Linked DNA regions of Saccharomyces cerevisiae S288C. Changing the gene in region 1 together with any one later gene gives a genetic interaction. Each region holds a gene or a part of one and is shown in the gene's direction. Other genes may lie near its edges.

Region 1 (7,720 bases):
AATTTGGAACTCCTGAAAAACCATTGTCGGATTTAGGATTATTGACTTACAGAACGTTTTGGAAGATAAAATGTGCTGAAGTGCTATTAAAATTAAGAGACAGTGCTAGACGTCGATCAAATAATAAAAATGAAGATACTTTTCAGCAGGTTAGCCTAAACGATATCGCTAAACTAACAGGAATGATACCAACAGACGTTGTGTTTGGATTGGAACAACTTCAAGTTTTGTATCGCCATAAAACACGCTCATTATCCAGTTTGGATGATTTCAACTATATTATTAAAATCGATTCTTGGAACAGGATTGAAAATATTTACAAAACTTGGAGCTCAAAAAACTATCCTCGCGTCAAATATGACAAACTATTGTGGGAACCTATTATATTAGGGCCGTCATTTGGTATAAATGGGATGATGAACTTAGAACCCACCGCATTAGCGGACGAAGCTCTTACAAATGAAACTATGGCTCCGGTAATTTCGAATAACACACATATAGAAAACTATAACAACAGTAGAGCACATAATAAACGCAGAAGAAGAAGAAGAAGAAGTAGTGAGCACAAAACATCCAAGCTTCATGTAAACAATATCATAGAACCGGAAGTACCTGCTACTGATTTTTTTGAAGACACTGTTTCCTCCTTAACAGAGTATATGTGTGATTATAAGAACACAAATAATGATAGATTAATCTATCAAGCGGAAAAAAGAGTGCTGGAAAGCATCCATGATCGCAAAGGGATACCAAGATCAAAATTTAGTACAGAAACTCATTGGGAGCTCTGCTTCACTATTAAAAACTCCGAAACACCACTTGGAAATCATGCAGCTAGGAGAAACGATACTGGAATATCAAGTTTAGAGCAGGATGAAGTAGAAAACGATGTAGATACTGAATTATATGTAGGTGAAAACGCCAAAGAAGATGAAGACGAAGACGAAGACTTTACCCTTGATGATGACATTGAGGATGAGCAAATATCAGAAGAAAATGATGAGGAGGAAGACACATATGAAGAAGACAGTGATGATGATGAGGATGGGAAGAGAAAAGGACAAGAGCAGGATGAAAACGATATAGAAAGCCACATAAGGAAGGAGAGAGTCAGAAAAAGAAGAAAAATAACTCTAATAGAGGATGACGAAGAATAAGCGGCGATGGGTATATATTGGATATAAGCATATACATGTAACATTATTAATAGCAATAAGAACCCTTGTAGTCAATAGTATTACAGAATTCTCCTACGAATAAATTTTATGTGTATATATAAAGATATATATGTGTGTGTGTACATGTGTGGGTGCGATTAATTTGTACTCATTAAACGAATAGTCAAAACAAACTAAATTCGTCTCTTAGCTTAAAATATATTTTTAAAGATAGAATTTATACCTGGAAGTTCATCTTGCTCATTGCGTATGTCATTTGCGCTGGTCATAGAAGAAAGCTCACTAGACTTTGGATTATCATGTTTAGCCTCTAACATACCGTAATTTTGCGATTGCTGCGATGGCGTGTTAATGCCATTCTCCTTGTGCAGTGGGTCAATGTCATCCTCCTCCTCCTCGTCTTTGCATCCTTCATTTGTATGAAAACCACTTACACGTCCTTTTCTCTTTAAATAATCCATTCTTTGTTGGATTTCCAACTCGGATCTATTATTAGGCAGAACAATAGAAATTTCTAGCGGCGACAAATGGTTTTGTTTGTCCTTCGTATTGTTAAGTAGCACTTCATCATCTTCTCTAGACCACGGGTGTTTATTAGCGAATTTTTGCATATCTAAGAAAGTCCTCGTGTGCGTGATTTTGTCATTTGCGTGGTCTGTCTTGCAGTTGGGAGACGCTATGGGGTTAAGATAGTATTGGTGCTGTGGATGATAATGAACGGATTGCGATGTAGATAACCTTCTGGGTGACATATACGGGCTAACTACCAAGGAAGCTCTTCTAGAAATAGGCTCCGTAGGAGCGTGAGAGTTGAAGGATGATCTTCTTGAATGCATCATGTTAAAAGATGATCTTCTAGAAGAAATTACGGAATGCGAGTTTTTCCTAGTCTTCGTCGTTGAATGAGGGATTTGAGTTGAAGGAATAAAGGAGTTCCTTCTAGACCTGATAATAATTTTAGGCACAAGACCAATATTCTCATAATCATTGGAATTAACAGCTTTATTTGTCTTTGCTGAAGTAGTGTTATAAAGGCTTAGATTTGTCTGCTGAGCAGTCTTTACATTAGGCGTGTTGGTTGTTATAGAATGAGAGAAGGACCTTGGCTTAACAAACAGTTTCCTTGGTTTCGTGTGTTGTGGCTCATGGTCCGAAAATGTTGATGTAGATCTTTGAGTTATCAGTTTTCTGTCCATGTATTTAGGCTTAACTAATGGCTTGAAATCCGGTGGAGAATCCTCGATAGCACTAGAACCTGCAGTAATATCTTCATCCTCAACAGCTTCCTCTTTTACGGCTTCTTCCGCAGACGGAGTACCCGCGGATGGGGTAGCATCACCAGTCGCATACACGCCGAATAGCTTATTGATGTCAATAACTGCGGTCTTGTTAGACTTTAAGTTGCCTGATTTCAGTCTCCTCCATCTGAATTGACAAGCGTTAGGAGTTCTATTTGGGAAATGATGTGCAATCTCCTTCCAGCCCAAGTTCTTGATCTCTTTCAGGTGGCGGAGCTTGATATCATCACTAGGGTCCCAAGAAGAGGGGTTGTTTTTTTTGAGTGATTCCGCCTCCTCCTTGTTCGTGCTGTTCTCTTTAGTGCTAGTGCTACTGATAGGCAGGTGGCTCTTCGCATTTGTGTGAGAAAGTGAGTGGGAATGGACAAGATTATTTGGGTGAGGGTGTTTGCTTAGTATTGAGAAACCATGTGAGTTGGCACTAACATGTCCTGATGAAACAGAAACGCTACTGAGTTTCGGCAACGTCATCGCGAGGGAACTTCAATAAGAACAGTGATATATTCTTTTCTCTACCCACTGTCGTGTATATGCCTTCTTGAGTGAGTAGTTTTAATGACTCAAGCAGTGGAGATTTGCCAGATTTGTTTACCTGAAAACAAAATGATATGAAAAGCCTTTATTAATATCAACGTACAAAAACTATACACGACTTCTGTGTAAGGAAGTAGAAAAGTGTCTCATCGCATTGGTCTCGCATCTCATCGCATCGCATCTCATCTCAATTTTCAAATTTCAGCTCTCAGCAGAGAAAAAATTTTTTTTTCACCGGACCAAAAATAGCCTCTCTCACCCACAGATAACGTCGCACACTAACAAGATGATGAGACAAGATAGGCCAAACCGCTCAAAAAGGAACTCGAAGAAGAACGGAAGTGGAGTTTAACTTTAGAACCTAACTGCTACTAAGTGTTGATACGCTAGGCAAGACACCTGCGAAATCCCGCTGCGAAATACCTGCAAAGAGGTTGCTAAACAGCAGCCAGAAGACTTGCGCTAGTAACGTTCCTGAAAAGCTTTGCACTGCAGGCATTTCTGAGCCTTTTCCGGCCTTCTAGAAGGCTTAGCCCCTACTAACGCCGGGTTACTTAGAACAGCACTCTTCTAAGAACAATCTTTCCAGCATGCTGGAAGGGCCCAGTGGTGATGTCCTGGTAGCAATGGACAACTAAAGGTGGACACTTTCGCTGCCAAGGCATTTTTTTGAGGCGCCAGTACTGTTATAGTTATATGTGGGGCATCTTATTGAAATCCTCGAACAAAAGTTGTTCTAGGCTCTGGAAACCAATTTTGACACAATATTATAGCATGACATCAACTGCCACGGATTCTCCGCTGAAATACTATGATATTGGATTGAATCTGACAGATCCTATGTTTCACGGTATTTACAATGGTAAGCAGTACCATCCAGCAGATTATGTAAAATTATTAGAGCGTGCTGCTCAGAGGCACGTGAAAAATGCCCTTGTTACAGGATCATCCATAGCGGAGTCTCAAAGTGCCATTGAGTTGGTAAGCAGCGTCAAAGATCTTAGCCCGTTAAAGCTGTATCACACAATAGGTGTTCACCCATGTTGCGTTAACGAGTTTGCGGATGCTAGTCAAGGGGACAAGGCTAGCGCTTCTATTGATAACCCTTCCATGGATGAAGCATATAATGAGTCTCTATATGCTAAAGTTATTAGTAATCCATCTTTTGCACAGGGTAAACTGAAAGAGCTTTATGATTTGATGAATCAGCAAGCAAAACCTCATGATACAAGTTTCAGGTCAATTGGTGAGATCGGGTTGGACTACGACAGATTTCACTATAGTTCTAAAGAGATGCAAAAGGTTTTTTTTGAAGAGCAACTGAAAATAAGTTGTTTGAACGATAAACTCAGCAGCTATCCATTGTTTCTGCATATGAGAAGCGCATGTGACGATTTTGTTCAAATATTGGAAAGATTTATTGCCGGGTTCACTGATGAGAGGGATACCTTTCAGCTACAAAAGTTAGGTGCATCGTCGTCTAGCGGGTTTTACAAATTTCATCCAGATAGAAAACTAGTGGTCCATTCATTCACTGGTTCTGCGATAGATTTGCAGAAATTACTGAACTTATCACCCAACATCTTCATAGGAGTAAACGGTTGCTCGTTGAGAACCGAGGAAAATCTAGCTGTTGTAAAGCAAATACCAACAGAAAGGTTGTTATTAGAGACAGATGCTCCGTGGTGTGAGATTAAAAGAACGCATGCATCTTTCCAGTACTTAGCCAAATACCAGGAGGTTAGGGATTTCGAATACCCTGCATTCAAGTCCGTTAAGAAAAATAAGCTCGCTGACAAGTTGAATGCAGAAGAACTTTACATGGTCAAGGGCCGTAATGAGCCTTGTAATATGGAACAAGTAGCAATTGTCGTATCGGAAGTCAAGGACGTGGATCTGGCTACTTTGATAGATACCACGTGGAAGACGACCTGTAAGATATTTGGAGAGTAACATCTATTGGTGCAAAGAGCAAAGTTACATTATTTTTAGTAAGTACACTAATTATGCTTAAACTATTAATAGGAAAATTATGGTGCGCATATACATACAGTCGATATTGCTTTCATTTTTTTTTTTTTTTTTTTTCTATTTTTTTCATCAAAAAGGATTCAAAGGTTACCAACAAAATAAAAACAGAGTAAGGAAAAACAGATGTATCTATATGAATAGGATTTATAAATTCTGTTACAATTTATCATTCTCTCGTAATGATTTTTATGAATTTCACCATCTCCTCAATATGGGCCGCAAAGATGATCCAGTAAAAAACAATCCATCGGCAGAAGAGGAATAACAAATAAAGATAACAAAGTTTGACTACTCTTTCGTTGCAAAGTACGGTTCGACAATATTTATTATTCAATTTCTTCAATCTTGGAACCCTTCTTCGCATTTTCATTCTTGCCGTTTTCTTCGCCGTCGTTATCATCGTTATCATCAGCATCATTAGGTTCTGTTTCTCCTGCAGCCGCATTGCTTAAAGATGCCAACATATCTGATAAAGAAGCACCATGGAAATAAGAAGTGTTGCCGTCACTGTCGGAGCTGGGCCTCTGCCTTATTTGAATCCCGGCTTCTAATAGAGCCTCCAACGAAAACAAGTCAATAGGGCCAGTTCTATCCTCACCTGATAACTTTGAGGGAGTAGCACTGCTGCCTAATTCGGTATCAAGATCATCAATTTCCATGTCGTCATTATCTTTACTACGATTCAAGCGGTCTTGTAATTTTTTGGTGGTTATTGCGAACACTTCGTTATCATCATCCGAAAAATCATGGAAATCAAAAATACTTTTCCTTCTTTGGACAAAAGACGTTTGGATATTGTAATTTTTTGATCTCATACGCTCAAACCATTGTGACTCAGATTCATTTTCCTTTAGTAAAGCAACAATGGAAATACTCATATTATCACAGCCAATTCCTGAGCCTTCAGTTGTGGGTGAACAACAAACATCTACGATTCTAGATGAAATGTCGCTCAACGTCATATTACCTTGACTTATACCGTAGTGAACCAAGTCAACACACTCTTGAGAAGTTAAACAATCCCAAATACCATCACATGCTAAAATAACAAATTCATCCTCATCATAATTCAAATTGTGACAAATGATATCAGGAACACATGTAACGACTTGCTCATGAGGTCCCAATTTTGTGTTAGATTTGAATTCAAAATCACCTATGGCTCTTGATAACGCTAAATTTCCATTAACACGGTCCATCTCAACAAAACCATCAGCAGCTACAATACGAGATTTTTCACTTAACAATGTGGGCTTATGATCAAATGACATTGCTTTACTATTACCACCAGTAGATAGAACTGTTCTACTATCACCGGAATTGGCGCAAATTAGTAGCTTTTTCAATTGAGATACCAATATCACAGTTGCTGTACAACCACTATGGTCATCTTTTAATTTTTCATCTTTCAACAACTCAACATCTGTAGCTAAAAAGGTATCTATTAAGCACTGCTCTAACATACCGCTCTTGAAGCTCTCCTGTTTTTTCAGTATAGATATCATTTTAGAGCCACAAAACTCCGCTACAGAAGAACCACCATGACCGTCAAATATACCATAAAATGCGAGATGTTCCTCGTCAGACTCAGCCAAAAGGTTCGGCTCAACAATATGGGCATCTTCCATGGACATACGCCAGCCTTGCATGGCACATAGTCCAAACGCTGTCAAACAGTCCGTACCAGAATGATGCTCTTTGTCGATAATTGGATTGGACAATATTTGACCCATGTTATCTCTCTCTTTCTTCGATTTGTCTTCTTGGCCTTCTTCGTCTGCCTATAATAGAAACTTCAAAAAGTAAAATGAATATAGTCTAAAAACAGAAAGGGGCCTTCCGGTGGCAACAATCGAGCCAACAAGCTCTAAACACCTTTTACTCCTTTGAGTTTATTCTCTTGAGGGACAACCCATGTTGTTTTTTCTTCAACTCGCTGATATCACGCCTGACGAAAATAATGTTTAAAGGTTATTACTACTCTTCTAGAAGCTCTTAAGCATAAGAGCTAATTGTTTCTTGCTATATTACTTGTTGACAGCGGAGTAACATGATAACGTCTTTTTAATGGAAAAGATGACAGTTTCTTCGAATTACACCATAGCTTTATGGGCTACTTTCACCGCAATCTCCTTTGCCGTGGGTTACCAGTTGGGTACGTCGAACGCATCATCAACTAAGAAATCCTCAGCTACTTTACTGCGTTCTAAAGAAATGAAGGAAGGAAAGCTACACAATGACACTGATGAGGAGGAAAGTGAAAGCGAAGATGAGAGCGATGAGGACGAAGATATTGAGTCCACTTCATTGAATGATATACCTGGAGAAGTTAGGATGGCATTGGTGATTCGTCAAGATCTTGGCATGACAAAGGGCAAAATAGCGGCACAATGCTGTCACGCAGCATTGTCATGTTTTAGACATATTGCTACAAACCCCGCGCGTGCTTCATACAACCCAATTATGACACAAAGATGGCTAAATGCTGGACAGGCTAAAATAACGTTGAAATGTCCAGATAAGTTTACAATGGACGAGTTGTATGCGAAGGCTATATCACTTGGGGTGAATGCAGCAGTTATTCATGATGCTGGTAGAACACAGATTGCTGCGGGAAGTGCCACCGTATTGGGTTTAGGACCTGCTCCAAAAGCAGTATTGGATCAAATAACAGGTGAT
Region 2 (4,413 bases), on another chromosome or scaffold:
ATATTTGCTTTTACTTCTCTTGTAGGTTTGTTAATAATATTAAGTGATGGTAATCCAAAGCTAGTCAGTCGTCGAAATTTTAGGACCGAGCTTTTAGTGGATGTCATCACACGTAAACCGGCGGTAGAAGGGAAAGAATGGAGGATCATCACATACAACATGAACCAATATTTGTTTAATCATGGGCAATGGCATACTCCGTATTACTTTTACAGCGATGAGGATTGCTACCGTTATTTTCTACGCCTTGTTGAGGGAGTAACCCCCAAGAAGCAAACAGCCACGTCAATTGGCAATTCTCCGGTCACCGCTAAGCCTGAAGATGCCATCGAGTCAGCTTCTCCTAGTTCCAGACTGAATTATCAAAACTTTTTGCTCAAGGCAGCGGAGATCGAACGACAAGCTCAGGAAAATTACTGGCGAAGGCGGCATCCCAATATCGATGCGCTTCTTAAAAAGACGGAATAGCTTAGAGACACTACCATACGTAAAGCGAACATAAACTAGAGTATGATATATAATCAGCACTAACTGGCCGGAAAACGGCCGAAGGAAGCCTCGAAAAGTCGATTCGTGTTGGACCCATTTGCTGAACAAAGTGGTTCATTGCCTACCTATTATGGTAGTAGTCGTGATAATCGTGTGGTTGGTTTTGTCAACGGTGCATTTGCATTTTCATGACAATAAACCTTGCGTTTTCGTTCTCGGGATATTACTTTCCCTCCACTTCTTTCGCCTCAATAGCTCCTATAAGCATTCTCAGGGCGTATGTCGGTGATCGAGATTTCCAAGCAAGCTTTTAGTGGAAATCATCGCGCGCAAGCCAGCGGTAAAGGGAAAAGAACGGAGGACGATTACATACAAGATGAACGAATAAATAAATTAATAATAAATAATAATAAAAAGTACAGTAGCATTAAATATTATTAAGTTTAATGATTAAAAATTGGTTAATTGTCAAGAAAATCTAAGGTATTAATAAATAAATAATACTATGACAACTTGCAGCGAAAGCATCAGCCCCAATGAAAATTAATCAGAATTGAATCTGAGCGTATTTATTTGATAACGGTTTACGTAACTGTTGGAATAAAAATCAACTATCATCTACTAACTAGTGTTTACGTTACTAGTATATTATCATATACGGTGTTAGAAGATGACGCAAATGATGAGAAATAGTCATCGTTTTCAACGGAAGCTGAAATACAAGGATTGATAATGTAATAGGATCAATGAATATCAACATATAAAACGATGATAATAATATTTATAGAATTGTGTAGAATTGCAGATTCCCTTTTATGGATTCCTAAATCCTCGAGAAGAACTTCTAGTATATCTACGTACCTAATATTATTGCCTTATTAAAAATGGAATCCCAACAATTATCTCAAAATTCCCCCAATTCTCATCAGTAACACCCCACCCCGTATTACTTTTACCGTGATGAAGATTGGCATCGTTACTTTCTAAACGTAGGACGTGCGGAATGACAAAACCATCAGCAGTGTCACGATCTCTCCAGTCACAATGGCAATCATGAGTGCATAGTCCAAAGTAAAGGGGCAAGGAAAAGCATGATTGAAAGGACTCCCCATCTGGACTCTATATGTCATCAGCGGCTAAAAAAAAGCATATAGCACAACATCAGCATCAGCATCAGCACTAGAGTCATCGGCCCGGCGGTCCGCGGTCATCCCCGCGGACTTTCCGTCCGCCCGGCGGGCTGTATCAGCGTCAACTGGAACGCGCATATATATACAAGACACACATAACATAGAAGCACACCCACGACAATAACCACACGACAATAACCACACCCGCCCACCCCTCCTTTCCGTATACAATGCCAAACTTAAAGAGACTACCCATCCCGCCACTGCAGGACACGCTCAACCGCTACCTGGCACGCGTGGAACCCCTGCAGGACGAGCGCCAAAACCGCCGTACGCGCCGCACTGTGCTCTCCGCAGAAAACCTGGACGCATTGAACACGCTGCACGAGCGGCTGCTAGAATACGACGCACGGCTCGCGGAAAGCAACCCAGAGTCCTCATACATCGAGCAGTTCTGGTATGACGCGTACTTGCTATATGATGCAACTGTCGTTCTCAACGTCAACCCGTACTTCCAACTGCAGGACGACCCAACCATCAAAGACACACCAGAGACGGCGGCACAGGGCCCCTATGGCGCACACACGGTGCAGGTTCGTCGTGCCGCACGACTCACCACCTCTATTCTCAAGTTCATCCGCCAGATTCGCCACGGCACACTCCGCACAGACACTGTGCGCGGCAAAACGCCGCTGTCGATGGACCAGTATGAGCGGCTATTCGGCTCCAGTAGAATCCCTCCGGGTCCCGGCGAGCCCTCTTGCCACTTGCAAACAGACGCCACGTCGCATCACGTGGTGGCGATGTATCGTGGCCAGTTCTACTGGTTCGACGTGCTGGACACACGCAACGAGCCCATCTTCGCCACCCCAGAACAACTGGAGTGGAACCTCTACTCGATCATCATGGACGCGGAATCCGCCGGAAGCGGATCCGCGCCCTTTGGCGTGTTCACCACAGAGTCGCGCCGGGTGTGGTCCAACATCAGGGACTATCTGTTCCATGCGGACGACTGCACCAACTGGCGCAATCTCAAGCTGATCGACTCCGCGCTGTTCGTGGTCTGTCTCGACGACGTGGCGTTTGCCGCCGATCAGCAGGACGAGCTCACGCGTTCGATGCTGTGCGGGACTTCTACCATCAATCTCGACCCGCACCAACACCAGCCGCCATTGAACGTGCAGACAGGCACCTGTCTCAACCGCTGGTACGACAAGTTACAACTGATCGTGACCAAGAACGGTAAGGCGGGCATCAACTTCGAACACACCGGTGTGGACGGCCACACTGTGCTGCGGCTCGCCACAGACATCTACACAGACTCGATCCTGAGCTTCGCACGCGGTGTCACCAAGAACGTCGTCGACATCTTTAGCGACGACGATGGAAAACCATCGTCGTCGTCGTTGGCCTCGGCGGCTCACTCCGCCAACTTGATCACCATCCCTCGTAAACTGGAATGGCGCACTGACAATTTCCTGCAATCGTCGCTGCACTTTGCCGAGACGCGCATCTCGGACTTGATCTCGCAATACGAGTTTGTTAATCTTGACTTCTCCAACTACGGCGCGTCCCATATCAAGACAGTGTTCAAGTGCTCGCCAGACGCCTTCGTGCAGCAGGTGTTCCAGGTCGCATACTTCGCGTTGTACGGTCGCTTCGAGACCGTGTACGAGCCTGCCATGACCAAGGCGTTCCAAAACGGCCGCACAGAGGCCATCCGCTCCGTCACGGGCCAATCGAAGCTCTTTGTCAAGTCACTACTGGACCAGGATGCCTCGGACGCCACCAAAATTCAGCTCTTGCACGACGCCTGTACGGCGCACTCGCAAATCACAAGGGAATGCTCCCAGGGGCTCGGCCAGGACCGTCACTTGTATGCGCTCTACTGCCTCTGGAACCAATGGTACAAGGACAAGTTGGAGCTCCCACCCATCTTCCGCGACAAGTCCTGGACTACCATGCAGAACAACGTCTTGAGCACCTCCAACTGCGGTAACCCCTGCCTCAAGAGCTTCGGGTTCGGGCCTGTCACCGCCAACGGCTTCGGCATCGGCTACATCATCAGAGACCACTCCGTCTCTGTGGTGGTGTCCTCAAGGCATCGCCAGACTGCTCGGTTTGCGTCGCTCATGGAAAAGTCGCTGCTGGAGATCGACCGCATCTTCAAACGGCAGCAAGCTCGCGCAGCAAAACCCGCTGCCAGGACCACTGCTAGCGCCAACACCAAATCAGAAGACATGAAATACCTGTTGTCCGGCTACGATTACTTCGACGTGAGCGTGTCCGGTTGAGTTTATGCTGAGTTTTTGCGCATCAATATTATTTTTACTACTACTACTACTACTACTACTACTACATACTATTAAATATACTAAATAAGAGGAAAACGCTTTGGAAGTGACTGGCGCCGCCGCTGGCTACTATAATAGCAGCGACTGTAATTTAATCTCATCCCGTCGTTTGGATTACCTCTTTTACTCGCCGAGCGAACGTGCACCAAAAAGGGAAAGGAAAAAAAGAAAAAAAAAGGAAAAAGGAAACTCAAAACTTGGATAAATAGAAGCACTCAAACTAAATTAAACTGCCAAAAAAAAAAAAAATAAAAAGGGAAAAGTTTAAACATCAAAGTACACCTTTCACCCCTCCACACACCATGGAACAACCTGATCTATCGTCTGTGGCCATCAGTAAGCCGCTGCTGAAGTTGAAACTTCTCGACGCCCTTCGCCAGGGAAGTTTCCCCAACCTACAAGATCTCCTAAAGAAACAATTCCAGCCGCTAGACGACCCA
Region 3 (3,688 bases), on another chromosome or scaffold:
TGATATCGGACAATCCCAGGTCTTCATTTTGCTCTTTAGTTCTTTCATAATCTTCGATAGTCATGTTTGGATCCGGATCTGGGGCGTAGACATTTTGTATGTACGACCCGGCCAATGGATCTTCCATAATGACTGTGAACTTGACTTTCCCAGCGATGGCCTCCTTTAGCTTGGCAAAAAATTCTACCCAGCGGGCTTTCGTTGCTTCGTCCATGGAATCCGAAGTTTGAGTGAAAATACGGGATTCTAGTTCTTCGTAGACTTGTCTTAGTAAACCTTCCAAAGTGGTGAATCTACCACCCAATGTACCTTCTTGAATATCAAGATGTAATTCAGGAATTACCATACTACAGGTCTCAGATTTCAAAATATCACGGGACAAGTCAGCTGCATCGTCACAGTATAAAGTAATCCTTCTTCCTTTGTCAGGGATGGCACCACCGGTCTTCACCTCATTAGACTTATAACCACAATGATCGCAGACCGTCGACATGATAATGACTTCTTTAAAGTGTGGGATATTTACTGGCTTCATATGAGTTTCACACTCTTGGGTACACGATGGACAAGAAGCTCTGAATGTTTGCACCTCGTTGTTAAAGTTTTCGATGTCGGTGGCGTCTGACAAAAACTGTGGGTTTGCTGAGCCAACTTTGACAGATTCAGAAGGATTTCTTTCACGGTTGGCCAATTGTTTTAATTGTTCTTGGCGACGTTGCTCCAACTGGTCTCTAGTAATAATGCCAACTTGAACGTTTTGTTCGTCGGTTCTCACGTACTGGGTATGAGACCATTTGTGTTGAGGTTCACCGGGTTTGTATTCGATCCAGGAATTTCCCGCAGGATCATCCAAAATAAATGTAATCGGAATAGTGTTGGGTTCACAATTGATGTAGGATTTAACTTTCTGTATGAAGTCATCGATCTTCTTGTAAAGAGCTTCGTCTATAGATTTTCTCATTTCCTGGTCTTGCGACAGATCGTCGATCATCTCGGATAACAAACCTTCAACTGTCGTCAATTGACCTCTCTTAGCAGGAATCTCAATGTCTAGCTCGACAAACTTACAAGTGGCAGTTTCTGACTTAATAACTTGCCTGTTAAAATCTTCACGGCACTCCACTTTCAAAACGTAACGAGAGCCCTTCTCTTGAATTTGAGAAGCGGGTTGGATCTCACAGTTCTTAAACCCACAGTGAGGACAGTCGAATGACATAATAATTATTTCTCTGAAATAAGGGATGGAAGTCAGAAGAAGTCTGGTTGTACCGTTCTTTCCACAATTCATACAAAGAGACTCTATCTCTTGCACTGGATGGCCCATGGCGTCCTGTGCGCCGGTTAACTTGACGCCGTCATTAGCTTTGTTCTGTTCGGCTATGCTTTCATCTTCGACCTCTGCAGCAGCTTCTCCTACTGGTTTAAACAAATCTTCCTTTTGTTCGCTCATTATTTTCTATCCTATTTCTTAACGGTATAGGTATAATATGTATCTCTGTGTATATATGCGACTAGCTATTGCTAACGATGCGAACCTACCCGATAACGCTATGATTTCCTTTGCGTTGAACATCATAGCATTATAAATGTGCATCTCATCGCTGAAAAATTTTCGTCAACTATAAACTTTTAGGATATTCTAGCCCTGATGGGGCTAGAATATTCTAGAAAACTCCAGAGGGTTTCGGCACAATTTATTGTAGGGTTAGTAAGGGCTTTTTTATCAAGGTGAAAAATTCACTCGATGCCTTTTTTTTTTTTTCTCGAATAGATAGATATGCAAGAAATGTAATGCTATGCAGTGCAAAACAGATGTGTAAGTGTTCTAGGATGAATTGTAATGAGAGTTGGTTTTATTTTCATTTTGCGTTTTCGTTTTCCGTCTTTTAGCTTTTGTCCAACTAACTTGTAGTATAAGCTGTCTGTAAGAATAAAACGGAAATAGAGCCAGTATGCCCAGGGATCCATTGATTGGTATTGTGGGTAAGCCATCTTCAGGGAAATCCACCACATTAAATTCTTTGACGGACGCAGGTGCGGCGGTAGGAGCATTTCCCTTTACCACGATCGAGCCAAATCAGGCAACCGGCTACTTGCAAGTTGAGTGTGCTTGCTCCAGATTTGGCAAGGAAGATCTTTGTAAACCTAACTACGGGTGGTGTAGCAAGGGTAAGAGGCATATCCCCATCAAACTGTTGGATGTGGCAGGGCTTGTGCCTGGAGCGCATTCCGGCAGAGGGCTTGGAAATAAATTCTTGGATGATTTAAGACACGCAGATGCTCTTATTCATGTGGTGGACGTTAGTGGAACCACAGATGCAGAGGGGAAGAACACAAGAGGATATGATCCATTGAACGATATAGAATGGCTGCAAGACGAAATCAGGCTTTGGGTTGAGGGGAACCTGAAGAAAAGATGGGGGTCTATTGTGCGTAAACATACAGCAACGAAATCTAGCATAGTGGACACACTTCAAGCGCAATTCGGTGGGTACGGTTCACATGCGCCCATGATCCAAAAAGCCCTGGACAGGTTGAAGGGACTACCACCTTTGGAAAAATGGGATGACGAATGGATCACTCGAGTGGTCAAGTCCTTTATGATGGAGAAATTTCCAACTGTGTTGGCACTCAACAAGATTGACCACCCTGACGCCGATAAAAATGTTTCTAAAATCATGCTAAAGTATCCTGACACCAAAGCTGTACTGACCAGTGCAGTGACGGAAGTTTTTTTGAGGAAATTGAAAAAGCAAGGTTTTATATTATACGAGGAGGGCACGGAATTTGTTGACACATTTGAGGACGAGCCAGACAAACTAAAGCCACTGGACGACAAGATCCTTAACAGAATTGAAAATATCAGAGATTTGGTCCTGTATAGATTCGGATCTACGGGTGTTGTTCAGGTTCTGCAAGCAGCAACGGACATCCTTGGTCTAATACCGGTGTACACTGTGAAGAACATCCAGACTTTTACGGGTGGCAACGGAACCAACGTATTTAGAGATTGTTTTTTGGTCAAGCGAGGAACCCCTGTTGGCAAAGTTGCCAGGTATATCATGGGTGGCGAGGTCACCATTGCAAGCATTGAAACCGTTGGCGGCGTGAGAGTCAGTGAAGAAAGTCTTGTTGAGCCCGGTAAGAATGACATACTCGGCTTCAAGATCGCTCCAAGATCAGCATAACTTGAGTGCCAGTGAATATTAAGTAATCATCAAAGTATATGTGTAATTGTTTATACTCTTAGTAAAGGATGCTCCCTACAAGGTGGCTCTTTTCTTACTAAGCGCGTTCAGTTTCCAGCCAGCCGAAAGAGGGATATCAGTATATAAGAAAGCCATTCGGGGGATGAAAAGCTGACAAGAGAATAACGAGGACCAGTTTTTATTTGTTGTCTAGCAAGAATTATACACGCACACATACACGAGAGTCTACGATATCTTTAAATAACACATCAATAATGGTCACTCAATTAAAATCCGCTTCTGAATACGACAGTGCTTTAGCATCTGGCGACAAGTTAGTCGTTGTTGACTTTTTTGCCACATGGTGTGGGCCATGTAAAATGATTGCACCAATGATTGAAAAGTTTGCAGAACAATATTCTGACGCTGCTTTTTACAAGTTGGATGTTGATGAAGTCTCAGATGTTGCTCAAAAAGCTGAAGTTTCTTCCATGCCTACC

Evidence for each region. Genes that interact genetically often act in the same process or in processes that back each other up.
Region 2: mutations in YBL055C (region 1) and YAT1 together harm fitness more than expected from each alone (negative genetic interaction), as found in Saccharomyces cerevisiae (one large-scale study listed by BioGRID).
Region 3: mutations in YBL055C (region 1) and YGR210C together harm fitness more than expected from each alone (negative genetic interaction), as found in Saccharomyces cerevisiae (one large-scale study listed by BioGRID).

The regions. Positions count from the first base shown.
Region 1 is NC_001134.8:112,816-120,535, reverse strand, and holds YBL055C (3'-5'-exodeoxyribonuclease), read left to right. Parts: upstream 1-3,706; coding exon 3,707-4,963; downstream 4,964-7,720. Other genes in the region: SAS3 (histone acetyltransferase), read left to right, coding at 1-1,157; TOD6 (Tod6p), read right to left, coding at 1,370-2,947; type 2C protein phosphatase PTC3, read right to left, coding at 5,368-6,774; PTH2 (aminoacyl-tRNA hydrolase), read left to right, coding at 7,109-7,720. UniProt on the Saccharomyces cerevisiae protein: Has both endo- and exonuclease activities. Incises double-stranded DNA without obvious specificity via its endonuclease activity and excises the DNA from the 3'-to 5'-end by its exonuclease activity. May have a role in apoptosis.
Region 2 is NC_001133.9:188,344-192,756, forward strand, and holds YAT1 (carnitine O-acetyltransferase YAT1), read left to right. Parts: upstream 1-1,849; coding exon 1,850-3,913; downstream 3,914-4,413. Other genes in the region: DUP240 family protein MST28, read left to right, coding at 1-468; YAR035C-A (uncharacterized protein), read right to left, coding at 3,994-4,074; oxysterol-binding protein related protein SWH1, read left to right, coding at 4,276-4,413. UniProt on the Saccharomyces cerevisiae protein: Involved in the transfer of acetyl-CoA into mitochondria. May also be involved in the metabolism of acetate and of ethanol.
Region 3 is NC_001139.9:913,003-916,690, reverse strand, and holds YGR210C (uncharacterized protein), read left to right. Parts: upstream 1-1,952; coding exon 1,953-3,188; downstream 3,189-3,688. Other genes in the region: zinc finger-containing protein ZPR1, read right to left, coding at 1-1,450; thioredoxin TRX2, read left to right, coding at 3,464-3,688.